4 linked regions of the Rattus norvegicus genome follow. The protein of the gene in region 4 interacts with the protein of the main gene of each other region in a biochemical or structural test. Links are inferred from orthologs where the notes say so. Each region holds a gene or a part of one and is shown on either strand. Other genes may lie near its edges. The genes, in order: Npr2, Npr3, Npr1 and Nppb.

Region 1 (4,055 bases), about 100 Mb from region 4:
TTAAGATAGGGCCTGCTGTGTAACCCAAATTGGCCTTGAACTCTCAATCTCTCTGCCTCAGCCTCCAGAATTCTGGAACCCATGGCAAAAAAAGTGATTCCTGCCAGCTTAGGGGTGAATCTTCAACCTGCAGAGTTAGGGTGTCTAGAAATGTTAAAGCGGACTATCAGTCTTTGTTGAAGTACAAATTGTGCTACTCTGATGTTTTTTCGACTCTTGGCTTGACCATGTCACTTGTCAACACTACCATACATCTCTATTGGAACAGGTGTTAGTGAAGGAACCCTTTTAGCCTGACCCCAGGGGCACTTCCTGTCTTCCCTCCCCCTAGGGCTTCCCTTCTCTTTTTCTCCTTTCCTTTCTCTTGCCTGGGTGTGAATATTAAAAGGGTACCATCAAGCATGCCAGTCCCATAGTAAGAAAACTCCGGTTTAATATGACGACTGCATGCTAGAAATGGATTTTATGATTTCTTTCCTGGAACAAATTGATAGATCACAGGTGATATATTGAGTATGTCTGTGTGGTCCACATGTGCTTTCTGTGCTGAGAAGAAGCAAAGCTGGTAGAAATGGCCAGATTTTGAGATGGGGGTCTTGCTATGGAGCAGTGATTGGTCTGGAACTCACTGTGTAGACAAGGCTGGCCTTGTTCTTTTTTTTTTTTTTTTTGGTTCTTCCCCCCCCCCCCAAGCTGGGGACCGAACCCAGGGCCTTGCGCTTCCTAGGCAAGCGCTCTACCACTGAGCTAAATCCCCAACCCGCTGGCCTTGTTCTTATAGCCTAACTTCTGCCTCAGCCTCTTGAGTTCTGAGATAACAGATGTGAGCCAGCATACCCAGCTTGAAATGGCGGATTTTGATCTATTGATTTACACAGAGTCGTATGTCACAAAGGATATTGAATTGATCTCTTACACTGAGTTGCAAGTCCAGTTTCCTGTCAGAGCAGTCTCATTTAGCTGCGTGGTCCCAGGTTGGATACCCCTTACAGCTACGGAAGGGGGTATATGAGACTCAAAGGAGCTAGTCAGGCAGTTTAATGAGGGACAGGGATGTGGTGATTCGTGTCAGTCAAGTGCATGTGTGGCTGAAACCATCATTTGTGTGTCTGTGCAGTGTGTGTGGGCACGTGGCTCACATGACACACGTGCCTCTCGGTGAGCATGCTGTCTACAGTGGATGTTTCCTGTGTGCACAGTAAGTTAAATTCATGTTTCTCAGAGATGGAATCACCTTCTCAAAGCATTTCTCTCAGGGTTTGAAATCTAATTCACTGAGAGAGTCACTCTGAACCGGTGACCCGCTGTGGGAAAAGCCAACTTTTAGTGGATGACACCATCAGCATTTAATGCTGCTGGGACGGAACTGTAGCCCTGGCTGGGATGGAACTCACCAGATCTGCCCACCTCTGCCGCCTGAGTGCTGGCATCAAGGGCGTGTGTCACCAACGCCTGGCCACAGAGTGGTGGTTGTTCTTGATAGTGGTGGGTACCTTGAAAGTGTGGGGCAGAGGAGTGCCCATGAGAGTGACAGCCTGGCAGGAGGCCTGATGCTGGAAGGGAGGCAGGGAGGTCGATGGACTGAGTTTGTAGATGGAGTTGGTTTCATCCTACGGACACGTTTCCAGAGCCAGCCCTACCTGTCTTTCATAGAGGGGCGCCACTACTCATTTTCATACGCACCCCAGAGTTTGGCGCGCTCCAGAACCCCTCCCTCGTGCATGTGTTACCCGCGTGTGGTTTTAGCCAGTTCTCCTATGCGATCTCTTCCCCGTGTACTGTGGTGCAGACTGTCCTGGTGATCACGTACCGAGAGCCCCCGAATCCCGAGTATCAGGAGTTCCAGAACCGCCTGCTGATCAGAGCCCGGGAAGACTTCGGCGTGGAGCTGGCCCCATCCCTGGTGAGTAGATCTCTGAGAGTCACAACAGGCTGTGAGGAAGGGATTTCTCCTGGAGTCCTTGATCATGGAGCAAGCCCCATTTCAGGCTGTCATTTCCATCCAGGATTTTACCCTTCCAACCGTGGGACTGACCCTTGGACCAACCCTGGGTCCGGGTGGATGGGGAGGGCATGGTAGGGGTGGGAGGAGGGCGGTAAGCTGAGAAAGTGGGGAGGCACTGGGACAGGGCAGGAGTAGAAGAGAGAACGGGAAGGGGGCATTTGGAGAGCGCTGCTGAAGTTGCTGTCCTCAGATGAACCTCATTGCGGGCTGCTTCTATGATGGAATCCTGCTCTATGCCCAAGTCCTGAATGAGACAATACAGGAAGGGGGCACCCGGGAAGATGGACTTCGAATTGTGGAGAAGATGCAGGGACGAAGATACCATGGTAATGAAGGGCAGGGAGTGGAGGCCTGGGGACTGACAGCAGGCTTAGGAGTGCGGTGGGCAGAAGAAATACTCCAGGGTGCTGCAGGGAGAGTCAGTGAGGGTGGACACTTACGAAGAACCAGTGTGGGGAGAGACTCTGAGACAACGAGATGGTAGGACAGGAGGAGAGAGTGGGCCAGGGTTAGATCTCAAAAGTGAGGGGCACCCTCTTTTATCTTAGGTGTAACTGGACTGGTTGTTATGGACAAGAACAATGACAGAGAGACTGATTTCGTCCTGTGGGCCATGGGAGACTTGGAGTCTGGCGACTTTCAGGTGACGGGGGAGAGGACAGGGAGGAGGGATTGGCCCTAAGATCCAGTGGGGACAGAATCATCGGCTCTGGGGGACAGGAGCTTGCTTCCTGGGCTGGGCCTTCCGGACGGTGGGGTGTCAGGGAGAAGGCTGGGGCAGGCCTGTGGGCCCAGCGCTCTGCTTCCTCACAGCCTGCAGCCCATTACTCAGGAGCTGAGAAGCAGATTTGGTGGACAGGCCGGCCAATTCCCTGGGTGAAGGGGGCCCCACCTTTGGACAACCCCCCCTGTGCCTTTGACTTGGACGACCCATCCTGTGATAAAAGTGGGTGTGTGCAGGGACTGGGAGCAGTCCCCCCTCTTACCCCGCCCCCGCGCTCTGCCCCTTCCTCACTGACACCCATTCCCACTCCTGGCTGTGTATTATCTGTGTCTGCCGCTCTCTTCTCTGTCCCTCAGGAAAGCTCTGTACCTCCTGCACCTGTCTCTTTGCCCTTGGGCCCCCTCCAGTCTTTCTCAGGGTCTCTCTGTCTCTCTCTCCTTCTCCCTCAGCTCCACTTTCCACTCTGGCAATTGTGGCCCTGGGCACGGGAATCACTTTCATCATGTTTGGTGTTTCCAGCTTCCTAATTTTCCGGTGAGTTCTGGGTTTTCCTACTCCGTGTGTCCCTCTTGCTACATGGCCTCTGGCTGAGGCAGGTGTCCCTGTTGTGTGGCTGGCAAGTCTCCCAACCTGGTGTGGGATTCTGGGACTAGCAGCTTTCTCTCTGGCCTTTGGATTTGGTTGCCCTTCATCCTAGGGATTTATTTTGCTTTGGTTTGTAACCTGGGTAAATGAATTGTTTTGTTCTTGTTGCCGTTGTGTTTGTTTTGAGATAAGGTCTTGCTAAATAGCCTAGACTGGCCATGCACTCAAGATTCTACTTCCCCACACTCACGGACGTGCGTCATGGTGCCTTGCTTGAATACTGGGATTTTGTTTGAGATAAAGTTTCACTGTAGAACTGGCCTGTCTGGAAACCACTGTGGAGACCAGGCTGCCCCTGAAATTCTCAGGGATTTGCCTACCTCTGTCTTTGAAGTGCTGGGATTAAAAATCTCCTCTACCGTGCCTAGCTCTGAATTCGAATTTTTAAAAAAATTGTTTCTATTTATATCTCTCCTGTGTAAATGTATGCCACCCACACACATGTATGGGTGCCTATAGAGGCCAGAAGAAACCCATCAGCTCTTCTGGAGCCTAAGTTACAGGTGGTTGTGAGCTGTCCCAGGATGGGTGCTTGAAATTGAACTTAGGTCTCCTGGAAGAGCAACAGGTGCCCCTGACCACTTAGGCTCGTTTCAGCCCTGGAGTACTGATTTTGGGTAGAGTTAGGGTCAAAGGTGAATTTCTATGCACTGGTTGTGTGTCGTCTCCCCCCCCCCTTCT
Region 2 (3,153 bases), on a different chromosome or scaffold from region 4:
ATCTTCAAAATGAAAAAATAGACACATTTCTAATACCAAAATATAAGATTAAAATACTTAAAAATAAAATGTTAGTATGAAGTAGGGCTTTTTTTTACATCATAAAAGAAACATTTTAGACTGATTTTTTTATATAAATCCACCTAACTCACTAGTATTTACAGATTTCCAGAGTAGCTTTGATGAGACACTAAAAGAGACAGGGAGGATCCTTTCTTGAGATATGAAGTCAGACCTGAATGTGGACGTTGGACGAAGCCCTCGGCAACCACAAACCTGTTCCCCAACTCCAGAGAGAGGGGCATGCATTCCCAGCCTTGAGATTTCTCTCATTCCTTTGTCCTCTTATTGGGTGTTAAATTCTTTCCAAGAATATTCTACTTGTAAAAATTGTTTTATTCTAGCTACAAAACATTTCATTTTGGAAAAACCACATTTTTATAACCTTGTGTGAAATACCCCCAAAGCAATCAAGATATGGAGACTCCAGACTTTCGAGACATAAATCTACTCCGATGCCCCTCCAACAGCCAGAACACTTAACAGGATTACGTTATATAATTATATCTGTTTGCCATGAGATGAAAGACCAGAAGGCAGATAGTGATTAATAATCATTCCTGAGCTTCTAAAGAAAATTTAAAATGAAATGACTACTGCTTAAAAGAATGAATTCTCCAAGAACACCCTTTCTGTTCCATTGATGTCTGTCCTTCAACTATCTCTTTAAGGAATCTCAAGCAGACAAAGCAAGGGGGGCATTTCTTTTAAGCCACCGAAAAATGTGATCTGATGGAATCTTCCCGCAGCTCTCGATGTTTCCCAATGTTGCTTTCTTCTTGGTGATTTCGCCTCTCAATGGTTATTCTGTATTTCTTCCTGGGTAAAGGCAAAACAAATGTAATAATAAAACCTCACTTGACTATAAAATACTATGGTTCCTCTTACAAAGAGTGCCCTCCAGGGACATCTGGGTTAGGTTTGATAAATGACTAGTGACACAATATGAAACCCTGGTTGGAGATTAAAGTAGTGTGCCCCCAAGGCATCATGTCCTTATTCAGGGAGGAAAATTGGCATGCTTTCTGAAATGCCAGAGGACAAGCCTTCCCCTTCTTCCTAGGAGCCTTATCTATTCTGCCCCAGAATCTCAGCTTGACTCCCAGGATATGACCCCAGATAAAGATCAGACTAAGTGTACTGTGACTAAAGGGACAGGAACTCGATTGTTCCCACAAAGAGCTACATACACTCGGACATACATCTCCATGCAAAAATGAAGAAACATTACAAATAAACCATGACGATTTATAACGACCCATGAATTCAACTACCGAAGATGACAACAGGATGGGCCACTGTCACTGCAGCAAAGGACTGAAATCTTGCACACATGTGTACATTGTAAGTTTATGAGCCTTGACGTTAAGACACAACAACAGCTACGAATGTGACTTCTCCAAATACAGGACACACTGCAGGGATCACAGACCACCGGGAGCTCTTTTCAAGGGAACTTGTTCTAAATCAAAGGAAGCCTGAGAATAGGAAGTTCATTCTTTGTCCAGATCTCCTCCTTGTGATTGTATTTGATAGGTCGAAGGGACTCTCAAAAATAGATCAATGATCCAGGGATCCCAACCACTTTCTAGCAAGTGCCATAGGAATCCAAAACTCACTGCCTGCCAAACCCAAGATGGAGCCAAAGAACCGCTTTAGTAATTTAACCATCATCCTTCTTGTTTAAAAGAAGGGTGTGGGCCAATCACACGGAGCGTTATACAAAGACAGGAGACAAAGGCATAAAGGGGCAGAGTGAATTTTAACTCCATAAACAGTCCCTACCTGAAAAAGTAGAAGGCCATTAGCAAACCAGCACCTAGTAGGGCCCCCACAACAATTCCTGTCACTGCTGATTCTTCTAGGCCACCTGCTTGAAAAGAAACATCAATAATCAGAGCTCATTTTGAGAAATGAGTAAAAGTACTTTTGATTTTTGCTCATCTCCCATTTGAAACTAATTTTCCTCTTTGCGATATATGTATAATATATATTGTAACATATTGTACATGATTTATATATAATATTTATATATTATATGAAATATATAATGTAAAATATGTATGTCTAATGTTCTGAGAAAAGGTTTTCAGAAAATACTAAATAAACGCACTGTGGCGTGAGAGTGAACAGACCAAGGTCAGAACAAGTTCAAAACTGGACCCGGGACAAACACCAGTCAGCCTAGCACTTGGGAAGATGAGGCAGAGGCTCTCAAGTTTGAAGCCAGCCTGAACCACATAGCAAGATCTATGACAGGGAAGGAGAATGGAGGGAACAAAGGGGATGGGAGAAAAGATAGATAAAGAGAATAAAAGATGGAGAAAGAGACAGGCTCAAGATGCACTTGATGAAAGCTGCAAACTGAAGATCTCAGACATAACCATCCTGGTTTTGAGTTTAAAGTCGAAGATGCATGAATGGACAGAGGCGATGGCCTGCACTTGTCTCCCTCAGGTGGGTGACAGTGACACTTCAATGGTGACACTTCAAAAGTCCGGGGGAAATTGCACTGGGTCAGTATTCTGTTTTCAGATGTTCTCTCACCAGAGCCAGAGTTCCATCCCAAATGTCCTATATAGCTTTGTGAAAATGTAAACCTTAAATCCTTCTCAGTAGGATCTCAGTTCCCAAAAAGTCAACAGCTATTTTCCTTTCAGAGTTTAGAATAAGCTTGCAGTGCATGGACTCCTTGGCTCCTCGGGTGACAGCTGGGTAAATTCCCTTTACATGTGGGAAATGTGAGAGTTGGCAGGTTGTAGGGAGTCTACTAGGGTCCCCAAATTGGCAAGAAGGAAAGTGAGATGTGGGATCCAGACCTAGCAATTATATAGTCAACACGCTTTCTCCTTAATTCTTTCTCATAATTATCACATGGATAAAAATTCCCACCATTCAAAGATGGTCCTGAGACATAATGGCCATTCATATATTCACCTAAAATCACTAACTGGCCTGAAAGATTGACATCATTTGTTCTTATTCATAATTACAAAGCCCCTCAAAGACAATCACCTCCTAAACCGTCCCTTTTGCTGTGCTATTCAAAAAAAAAAAAAACTTGCCTCTCTATCTGCACCCAGAATATGAATA
Region 3 (4,055 bases), on a different chromosome or scaffold from region 4:
CCTCAGCCTGGACTGTCTCGCCTCTCTTCAGCTGCTCAGCCACGGAGCTGAGGGGAGAGGGTAGGTAGAGACCAGAAGGTGAGGTGGGGTGAGGATAGGGCTATATGTTTATATGCGTGTGTGTGTGTGTGTGTGTGTGTATGTGTGTGTGTGTGTGTGTGCGCGCACGCGCACGCTCATAGGCATGCATGTGTGCAGAACTTAGAACTCACTGAGGCAGAATCTGGTAAAGCAAGGCCTCAGCTTTGCGCTTCTCCTCCAGATAAGCTTGTGTTCTCTCCTCTACCAGTTCCTCCAGGTTGTTAGCATACTGCTCCATGCGTGACAGCAGGTTGTCCAGGATGTTGCTGCTGTTCTCCCTGAGGGCCGTGGGGTACAGGGGGGCAGATGAAATGAGATGACTGGTCCTGCCTGGCAGTGCCCACACTCAGGCACTCACCATGCCCGGCCCCACCCTTAGAGACACGGTCTCTCTAAGTAGTTATAGCTGGATCTGTTCACATTATCAGGTATTTTAGGTGAAAGGAACAGCTGGCCTTGAACCCATAGATATCCACCTGCTTCTATGCCCAGCTGGGTACCTTTTTTTTTTTTTTTTTAAGATTTATTTATTTATTTCATGTATGTGAGCACACTGTCGTGGTCTTCAGACACACCAGAAGAGGGCATTCAGATGGTTAGGAGCCACCATGTGGTTGCTGGGAATTGAACTCAGGACCTCTGGAAGAGCAGTCAGTGCTCTTAACCGTTAAGCCATCACTCCAGTCCCCATGCTGGATACTATATTTATTCTTATTGATCACAAATGAGTTTGAAGGAGGTGGAGAGCTGAGGACGATGACAGGCAGCAGAGAAACATGACTGAGAGAACCAGCCAGTGGGCATACTAGAAAAAAGAGACACAAGGACTGGGGTAGGAGCTTTTGAGCAGGACTGAGACTATGGGAAGAAATGGGAAAGGATTGGAGCATCTGGCCCATATAGTCTTATTTATCTTAAGTCTGGGGGTCAGTACAGGGCTGTGGGCAGGAAAGGGTGTGGGATGTCAATGTTGGCAGAGGAAGGAGTAGTGAATGGTGGGAGCTGTTGGGACAACCAAATCATACAGCTGTGCAGACATCTATGAGGCTGTGAAGAGCTGCAGTAGGCTGCCACTGTAGAAAAAAATTTAAGTGTGGGATTTATAGTGCCTGTAGTGGGGAGAGACCACTAACTTGTTGAACTTGCGCAGCGCCAGGCGGATCTGCTGAAAGGGTGGCCGCTCCTGTGGGTCCTCTGCCCAGCACCGCTGCATCAGCTGCCCCAGTTCCTCCAGGTGGCTCTGCAGATCCATGGAGGGTCGGAATGGGGGCTGCTCACCCCGAGTCACACGCTCAATGATCTCTGTGTGGAAGGGGGATGCGCTGAAGAGCAGCAAGCCTAGTTGGGCAACCGGCTGGGACAGGCAGGTGGGGCGAGTCCAGACCAGAGCACAGGGGTGAGCTGGTCACTGGCAGCCATGGCGCAAAGGACAGCGAGTGGCTGACTCCCCACTCCAGAAGGAACAGTAGGGGTGTTTGGAGAGGTTCCTTCTCTGGAGGTGGATTCGTCAAGACCAGCTGGGATATAGGCCATGTGATCCTCACCTTTTGGGCTGAGGTCCAAACCTTCCACATAGAAGACCCCACTTCTTAGGGCAATCTCCTGCAGGATGATACCAAAGCTGTACACATCCCCAGCTTGGGAGCCACGGGCAGGTGGCGAAGCCATTCGCAGGAGCTCAGGTGCCGTCCACAATTTTTCTGTGGATCAGAGGTCAGGAGTCATAGAAGGGATAAGGGATTTTACACTCTAATAGGAAATGCTACAATAAAAGAAAGACATTGGCTAGGACTCCTGTGGACACAGCACAGTGCTGAGAACCAGTGACCACTTAGTCTGACTTCCTTTTTAACCAATGAAGGTTGAGCATGGAGATGGGAGATATACTCAAGTCTTGCAGAGGCTAGATCTCAGTGTCCCTTCTCAGCTGTGCTGGCAGCAGAGATCCTAGGGTCAAGAGTCAGACTCACAGGGCTGGAGAGATGGCTCAGTGGTTAAGAGCACCGACTGCTCTTCCGGAGGTCCTGAGTTCAAATCCCAGCAACCACATGGTGGCTCACAACCATCCATAATGAGATTTGATGCCCTCTTCTGTTGTGTCTGAAGACAGCTACAGTGTACTTATATATAATAAATAAATCTTAAAAAAAAAAAAAAAAGAGTCAGACTCACTGGCAAAGAGGGTGTGCCCTTGCTCTGGCTCCGGGTCTCTGAAGCTCTCAAGACCGTAGTCTGTGATCTTTAACACGAAGCGCCCGTCTACCACACAGTTGGATGACTTGAGGTTCCCATGGGAACAAATGGCCCCATTGTGTAGAAAGAGCATTCCCTGGAACATTTAGGAAGGCAAGAGGGCTTAGACATGAGTATGACTTCCAACCATGCCCATCTCTTGCCTGGCATCCAGTGATCTCCTCTGGACTCACCTTGACAATGTCATTGGTGAGCGAGTACCGAAACATCCAGTCCAGGGTGATACTCTCATTCTCTAGAATGTCCTGCTGGGGCAGCAAGAGTCAGACCCCCCTGGGAGTAGGAGGAGGGTACAAGGGAGCTACTGGTGTAAGCTTGGACACTTGGATTTACTGTAGTGCCATGCCAGCCCCCAACTCCCATTTACAGAGAGGGCCAAGCATGGCCACAAAGAGGGGGCTTATCTGGGCTCATGGTCAATGGGGTAAGAGCCAGGGCTAGAACCTAGGCTTTTTCACTGTCCCACTTCTTCTTGTCCCACTCACCTGTAGGCTTCCACGGGGACAGTACTCTGTGAGGATACAGATGTTGGGGGGGTCGGTACAAGCACCCACAAATCTTGTCAAGTGCTCATTCTGCACATCCCGCATCTGCAGATTGGGGCAGCATCAAGGCCCTGGCAGAGGCTTCAAACCTCACCAAGTCACATGTTTGTTACCATTCTTTCTCAGAATTTGCTCCCTAACCCTTTATTTCCTGTACATGTGAGGACAACCCATCTGGGGCCTGGAGGGCCCAGTGATCTCTCATCTTATGACCGATCTCCTTCCTACCCTCAAGACTCATGGGCCCATCCCAGCTGTATAGATCCCTCCATAATCAGTTGGCTTACTCTCTTGGAGTACCCACCAAGCCCTTCCCAAGCCACCACCTTGCTCCCCTTAATTACATGTTTAAGTTCAAACAGGACTTTTCGTGTCAACTCAATGCGTTTCCGGTTCACACGTTTCACAGCCACAAGGTTGCCCTGAGCAGGAAATGGAGACTTATTACTCAGGAGATGGCCCGAGACCCCAATCTGCTTCTGAAACCCATCCATGACAGCAGTTCTCTACCTGCTTCTAAAAGCCCATCCTTGCCCTGGGACTACCCCTGTTCCCTGGCAGGCTACCATCTCTTATTCTTCAGACCACACTCCACCAGGGGCCCAAGATCAGCAATCTTTCCCCAGACCTACCTTATAGTATGCTGTCTTGGCAAAGACTTGGAACTGGCCCTCGGTGGTTAGCAGGGAGCCATAATTGGAGCCTCGCTACAGAGAGAAACAATAGTCATCTATTGGCCAGCCCAGAGGTCATTCTGCATCCTGGAAGTTCTAGGTTCAGTCACACTGTCCCTTATCTGTGTCACCCTCCAGAGATAGGGTCTTACTCTTTAGCTCAGGCTGCCCTGGAACTTGTAGCAGTGCCCCAGACTCACCCTCCCAGGCTAGGATTGATTGCAGGTGTGAGTCACCAATGCTAGCTCCCACCCTCCTTTATGTATTTACTTAGACTATCTTCCTTCGAGCTTTGAGAGAGCCTTGTTACAGAGGCTGTAACTATAACCCTCATCTAAGACAATGTCAGGGTAAGCAAGTGAAGGCAGAACTGGGGGTAGACCTATTCTTTTGTTTGGTTTTGGTTTTACAAGACGGGGTCCCATTCTGTAGCACAGGCTTGCCTCAGACCTACAGCAATCTTTCCATATTAACCTCCCAAGTCCTGGGTCCAGGTGAGTCA
Region 4 (3,663 bases):
ACAGAGACAGAGACAGAGACAGAGAGACAGAGAGGCAGACAGAGAGAGACAGAGAGAGAGAGAGAGAGAGAGAGAGAGAGAGAGAGATGAATTCACTGCTCTCTGCTTCCTGATGGTGGATGTTACATAACCAATGGCTTCAAGCTCCTGCCACAGGCAATGCTGATAGAAGTGTAGACAGTGGGAACCTATCTCAGAGGAGAGATGGGATCTATCAGGAACTTGGCTGGGAGCCACTTGTATGACATGTTGGCCAAGAATCTGACTTCATTCTGCCTGTGTCCTGAGAATTTACTGAAACTGATGTGGGGATGGTAGGCTAATTTGTTCCTCAGAGGGAAATTGTGTGAGAAGGGTTAGGGGTTTGAGTGCTTCGTACTGGGACTTCAAGTCTTAAAAATGCAAATTCACATACAAGAAAGCTGCAGCTAAGAATGAAGCTGGGGGTGGTTCTCTGCCCCTTGAAAACAATAGCTTAGGAGAGAGTGTGTCTCCCTTGGGTCAGAACACAGAACCTCACATAAACAGGGGTCCAAGAAGCCCCGAGGCTTGCAGAAGAACCTGACAGCTTTCTCCAAATGTGACTGGTTTGGGGCTCATGACCTTCTAACTATCCCCTTTCTCTATCTCTACCTTAACCCACTGCCACTCCTGGTCACTGCCCTTGACCAACCTGACCCTTGTGAACATAGATTCTGCAGAAGGGATAGTGACATTGGCCACACACCTGGGTGTATACCCCACAGCCTCATTTCCTCAGAGTCTCATTTCTCACCTGAGTGGGAGACTGGGTGTGCGAGGGAGAAGTCACTCATGGCTGATCAGCTGAGAGCTGGGAAGAGGCCCTTCCCACATGTCTGGTGTCTAGGCACCCTTTCTCTTTCACTCGTGGTGTGGGAGGGGACATTGGCACCTGGAGATGCCCCAGAAGGCATTGCTGTGTGACCTTGTCTTTGGGCCAGGATGAAAATTCTATCCTAATCAGCTCTCTTTTGTTAAGGGGCTGGAGTTCCAGAAGTTCCTTGCCATTTACCAGCTTTTAGTCATTTGAATATTGGAGAGTGAGCATCTTTGAGCTGAAATCTTCACAGGGTTTTGAGGGGTGGGGAGTACTGGAAGGTGGGGCAGGGTATCAGAGTGGTTGCGTGAGCCACCTAGCTCCTTCTGGCCTGGAGATCAGTGGAGAAGAGAACTTGAAAGTTTGTGTGAAGGTCACGTGTGGTGATCAGAACCATGGACAGCTACCAGAGTGCCCGGAAGTGGTGCAGCCCGGCCCTACAGCTAGATGCTTGGTAGCCGGGCAGGGCCTGGATTACAGGTTCGAGGACACTCTCCCAGAGAGGCTGGTGATGGTGGGTGCTAACTGGAAGTGTTTTTGATGAGTCACCCCATAAGCCCCACACCCGCCCCAGGCTGGGAAAACTGGGGTTCTCCCTGTCATTTCCAATACGGGTGGGGCACGGTATTAAAGGCCCTCAGGTTTTGCATGATAGAAGGGAGCAGGAAACAAGGACCTGTTAGTGTCCCCCACACACTCCCACCCTAGCCCAGCCCATGCCTATACAAGGCCTGCGGTTTATAGCCTCCACCCACAACGAACACTCCACAGAGGCACAGAGGGGTGAATTCTCAGGTCCTGAGCTCAGCAGGCAGGAATGTGTCTGATAAATCAGAGATAACCCCACCCCTACTCCATGAGAAGGGCTGGCCGGACACCCAGCCCCAGGATAAAAGGCAGAGGCACCGTTGCTGAGAGGCTAGTGCACGCGAGCTGCTTGCGGAGGCGAGACAAGAGAGAGCAGGACACCATCGCAGCTGCCTGGCCCATCACTTCTGCAGCATGGATCTCCAGAAGGTGCTGCCCCAGATGATTCTGCTCCTGCTTTTCCTTAATCTGTCGCCGCTGGGAGGTCACTCCCATCCCCTGGGAAGTCCTAGCCAGTCTCCAGAACAATCCACGATGCAGGTGAGCACCGAGGGTCTGCATAGGGAGATGGAGCCTGCCTGAAGGGTTTTGGGCAGCAGCAATGAAAAGACCTCATGTCCTTTGGGAATTAACCACGCGAGAGTCAGGAAACGGAAAGATTGGGCAGCAGATCCCTTAACCGACAGGCACTGTGGAAGGGTGGGGGAGCCAGGTGTGTATGTGTGTGTGTGTCTGAGGTCTGGGCTTCCCAATTCGTCACAGAAGCTGCTGGAGCTGATAAGAGAAAAGTCAGAGGAAATGGCTCAGAGACAGCTCTCAAAGGACCAAGGCCCTACAAAAGAACTTCTAAAAAGAGTCCTTAGGTCTCAAGACAGCGCCTTCCGGATCCAGGAGAGACTTCGAAATTCCAAGATGGCACATAGTTCAAGCTGCTTTGGGCAGAAGATAGACCGGATTGGCGCAGTCAGTCGTTTGGGCTGTGACGGTGAGCACCTACCTTGCCGCTTCCCTGCAAAGCTGCACGCATCCCGTTCCCCTGCATGCCGCCCTCAGAGGCCCCTTGGTTTGCTCTCAGACATACTTGCACAGCCTGCCTCTACCTTACCGACAGTCTTCAAGACCAAGGCAGTCTGTCAGGAAGTCTCACATGGGTACTTCATTACACCGTCCCAGGTGAGCACCTACCTCCTTCAGAGGTGTCACAGGCTTCCCAGGGAACAGACTGCCTGATGTCTGATCACTCTGAGCATCTCCCCTCCGTCTTCACCAAACTGAATTATCCGAGGCAAAGGGCAGGCCCAGTGAGATAGCTTTTCCCAGAGCCGTTAAACTTCGACATCATCTGGGAACCAAAGATGGGGGTGCGGTGTGGCAGGGGAAGCTCAGCTCCTGCCTCAGTTTCACTCCCCAGTCTGACACTGGTTTCTCCTCCCCACAGGGCTGAGGTTGTTTTAGGAAGACCTCCTGGCTGCAGACTCTGGCTTCTGACTCTGCCTGCGGCTCTTCTTTCCCCAGCTCTGGGACCACCTCTCAAGTGATCCTGTTTATTTATTTGTTTATTTATTTATTTTTATGTTGCTGATTTTCTACAAGACTGTTTCTTATCTTCCAGCACAAACTTGCCACAGTGTAATAAACATAGCCTATTTCTTGCTTTTGGAAAAGGATTTGTGTCCATGAGTTTCAATCCAATCCTCATCTCTTTTACTTTGCTTTTGTTTACTTTGGCTTCAGGCAGGGTCTCTCTATATCATAGACCTGGCTCTCGGGGTAACTCACTCTGTAGACCAGGCTGGCCTCAGACTCACAGAGATCCACCTGCCTCTCCCAACAGAGTGCAGGGATTTAGGGTATGTGCCACCACTGCCCAGCTGAAACGCTGTCCTTCCAATGCCATGTGTCACTTAAGCGCAGCTGAGGGCTAAAGGTCCCCATGATCAGTAAGGTCATGATTGTCACCCGCATTTTTTAAGTGAGGAAACTGAAAATCAGAAAAGCCGGGAATCCTGGGACATGAGGCACAGCTGGCACATCTGCCCTCCCTGGCTTGAGCAGAGGTCTGCACAGTGTCTAGTGGAGTGAGAGGGGAACAAGAGGTAGCTCTTCCTGCGATTTCTCATTTCCCTCCAGTGTGCACTCAAGGTTGTGGATGTCTGATGAAAGCAATGAGGATTTGTTTTAAAGTGAGGTTGAAAGAGTAGCTTAGTTTCCAAGCATCCATGAGTCATCTTCAGACG

The links.
Region 1: the proteins of Nppb (region 4) and Npr2 form a complex in vitro, tested with the Homo sapiens proteins (3 studies listed by BioGRID). The link is inferred for Rattus norvegicus from reciprocal best matches to the Homo sapiens genes NPPB and NPR2.
Region 2: the proteins of Nppb (region 4) and Npr3 form a complex in vitro, tested with the Homo sapiens proteins (4 studies listed by BioGRID, with this or other methods). The link is inferred for Rattus norvegicus from reciprocal best matches to the Homo sapiens genes NPPB and NPR3.
Region 3: the proteins of Nppb (region 4) and Npr1 form a complex in vitro, tested with the Homo sapiens proteins (2 studies listed by BioGRID). The link is inferred for Rattus norvegicus from reciprocal best matches to the Homo sapiens genes NPPB and NPR1.

Annotation. Positions count from the first base shown.
Region 1 is NC_086023.1:62,685,181-62,689,235, forward strand, and holds part of Npr2 (atrial natriuretic peptide receptor 2 precursor), read left to right. Parts: intron 1-1,789; coding exon 1,790-1,903; intron 1,904-2,195; coding exon 2,196-2,331; intron 2,332-2,553; coding exon 2,554-2,648; intron 2,649-2,818; coding exon 2,819-2,951; exon of another isoform or gene 2,952-2,955; intron 2,956-3,178; coding exon 3,179-3,263; intron 3,264-4,055. UniProt on the Homo sapiens protein: Receptor for the C-type natriuretic peptide NPPC/CNP hormone. Has guanylate cyclase activity upon binding of its ligand. May play a role in the regulation of skeletal growth.
Region 2 is NC_086020.1:62,596,997-62,600,149, forward strand, and holds the end of Npr3 (atrial natriuretic peptide receptor 3 precursor), read right to left. Parts: intron 1,934-3,153; coding exon of another isoform or gene 1,931-1,933; coding exon 1,846-1,930; intron 880-1,845; coding exon 768-879; 3' UTR 672-767; downstream 1-671. UniProt on the Homo sapiens protein: Receptor for the natriuretic peptide hormones, binding with similar affinities atrial natriuretic peptide NPPA/ANP, brain natriuretic peptide NPPB/BNP, and C-type natriuretic peptide NPPC/CNP.
Region 3 is NC_086020.1:178,236,669-178,240,723, forward strand, and holds part of Npr1 (atrial natriuretic peptide receptor 1 precursor), read right to left. Parts: intron 3,587-4,055; coding exon 3,512-3,586; intron 3,302-3,511; coding exon 3,224-3,301; intron 2,925-3,223; coding exon 2,820-2,924; intron 2,608-2,819; exon of another isoform or gene 2,580-2,607; coding exon 2,508-2,579; intron 2,411-2,507; coding exon 2,254-2,410; intron 1,782-2,253; coding exon 1,626-1,781; intron 1,384-1,625; coding exon 1,215-1,383; intron 360-1,214; coding exon 213-359; intron 48-212; coding exon 1-47. UniProt on the Homo sapiens protein: Receptor for the atrial natriuretic peptide NPPA/ANP and the brain natriuretic peptide NPPB/BNP which are potent vasoactive hormones playing a key role in cardiovascular homeostasis.
Region 4 is NC_086023.1:163,698,225-163,701,887, forward strand, and holds Nppb (natriuretic peptides B precursor), read left to right. Parts: upstream 1-1,783; 5' UTR 1,784-1,840; coding exon 1,841-1,966; intron 1,967-2,188; coding exon 2,189-2,411; intron 2,412-2,864; coding exon 2,865-2,881; 3' UTR 2,882-3,086; downstream 3,087-3,663.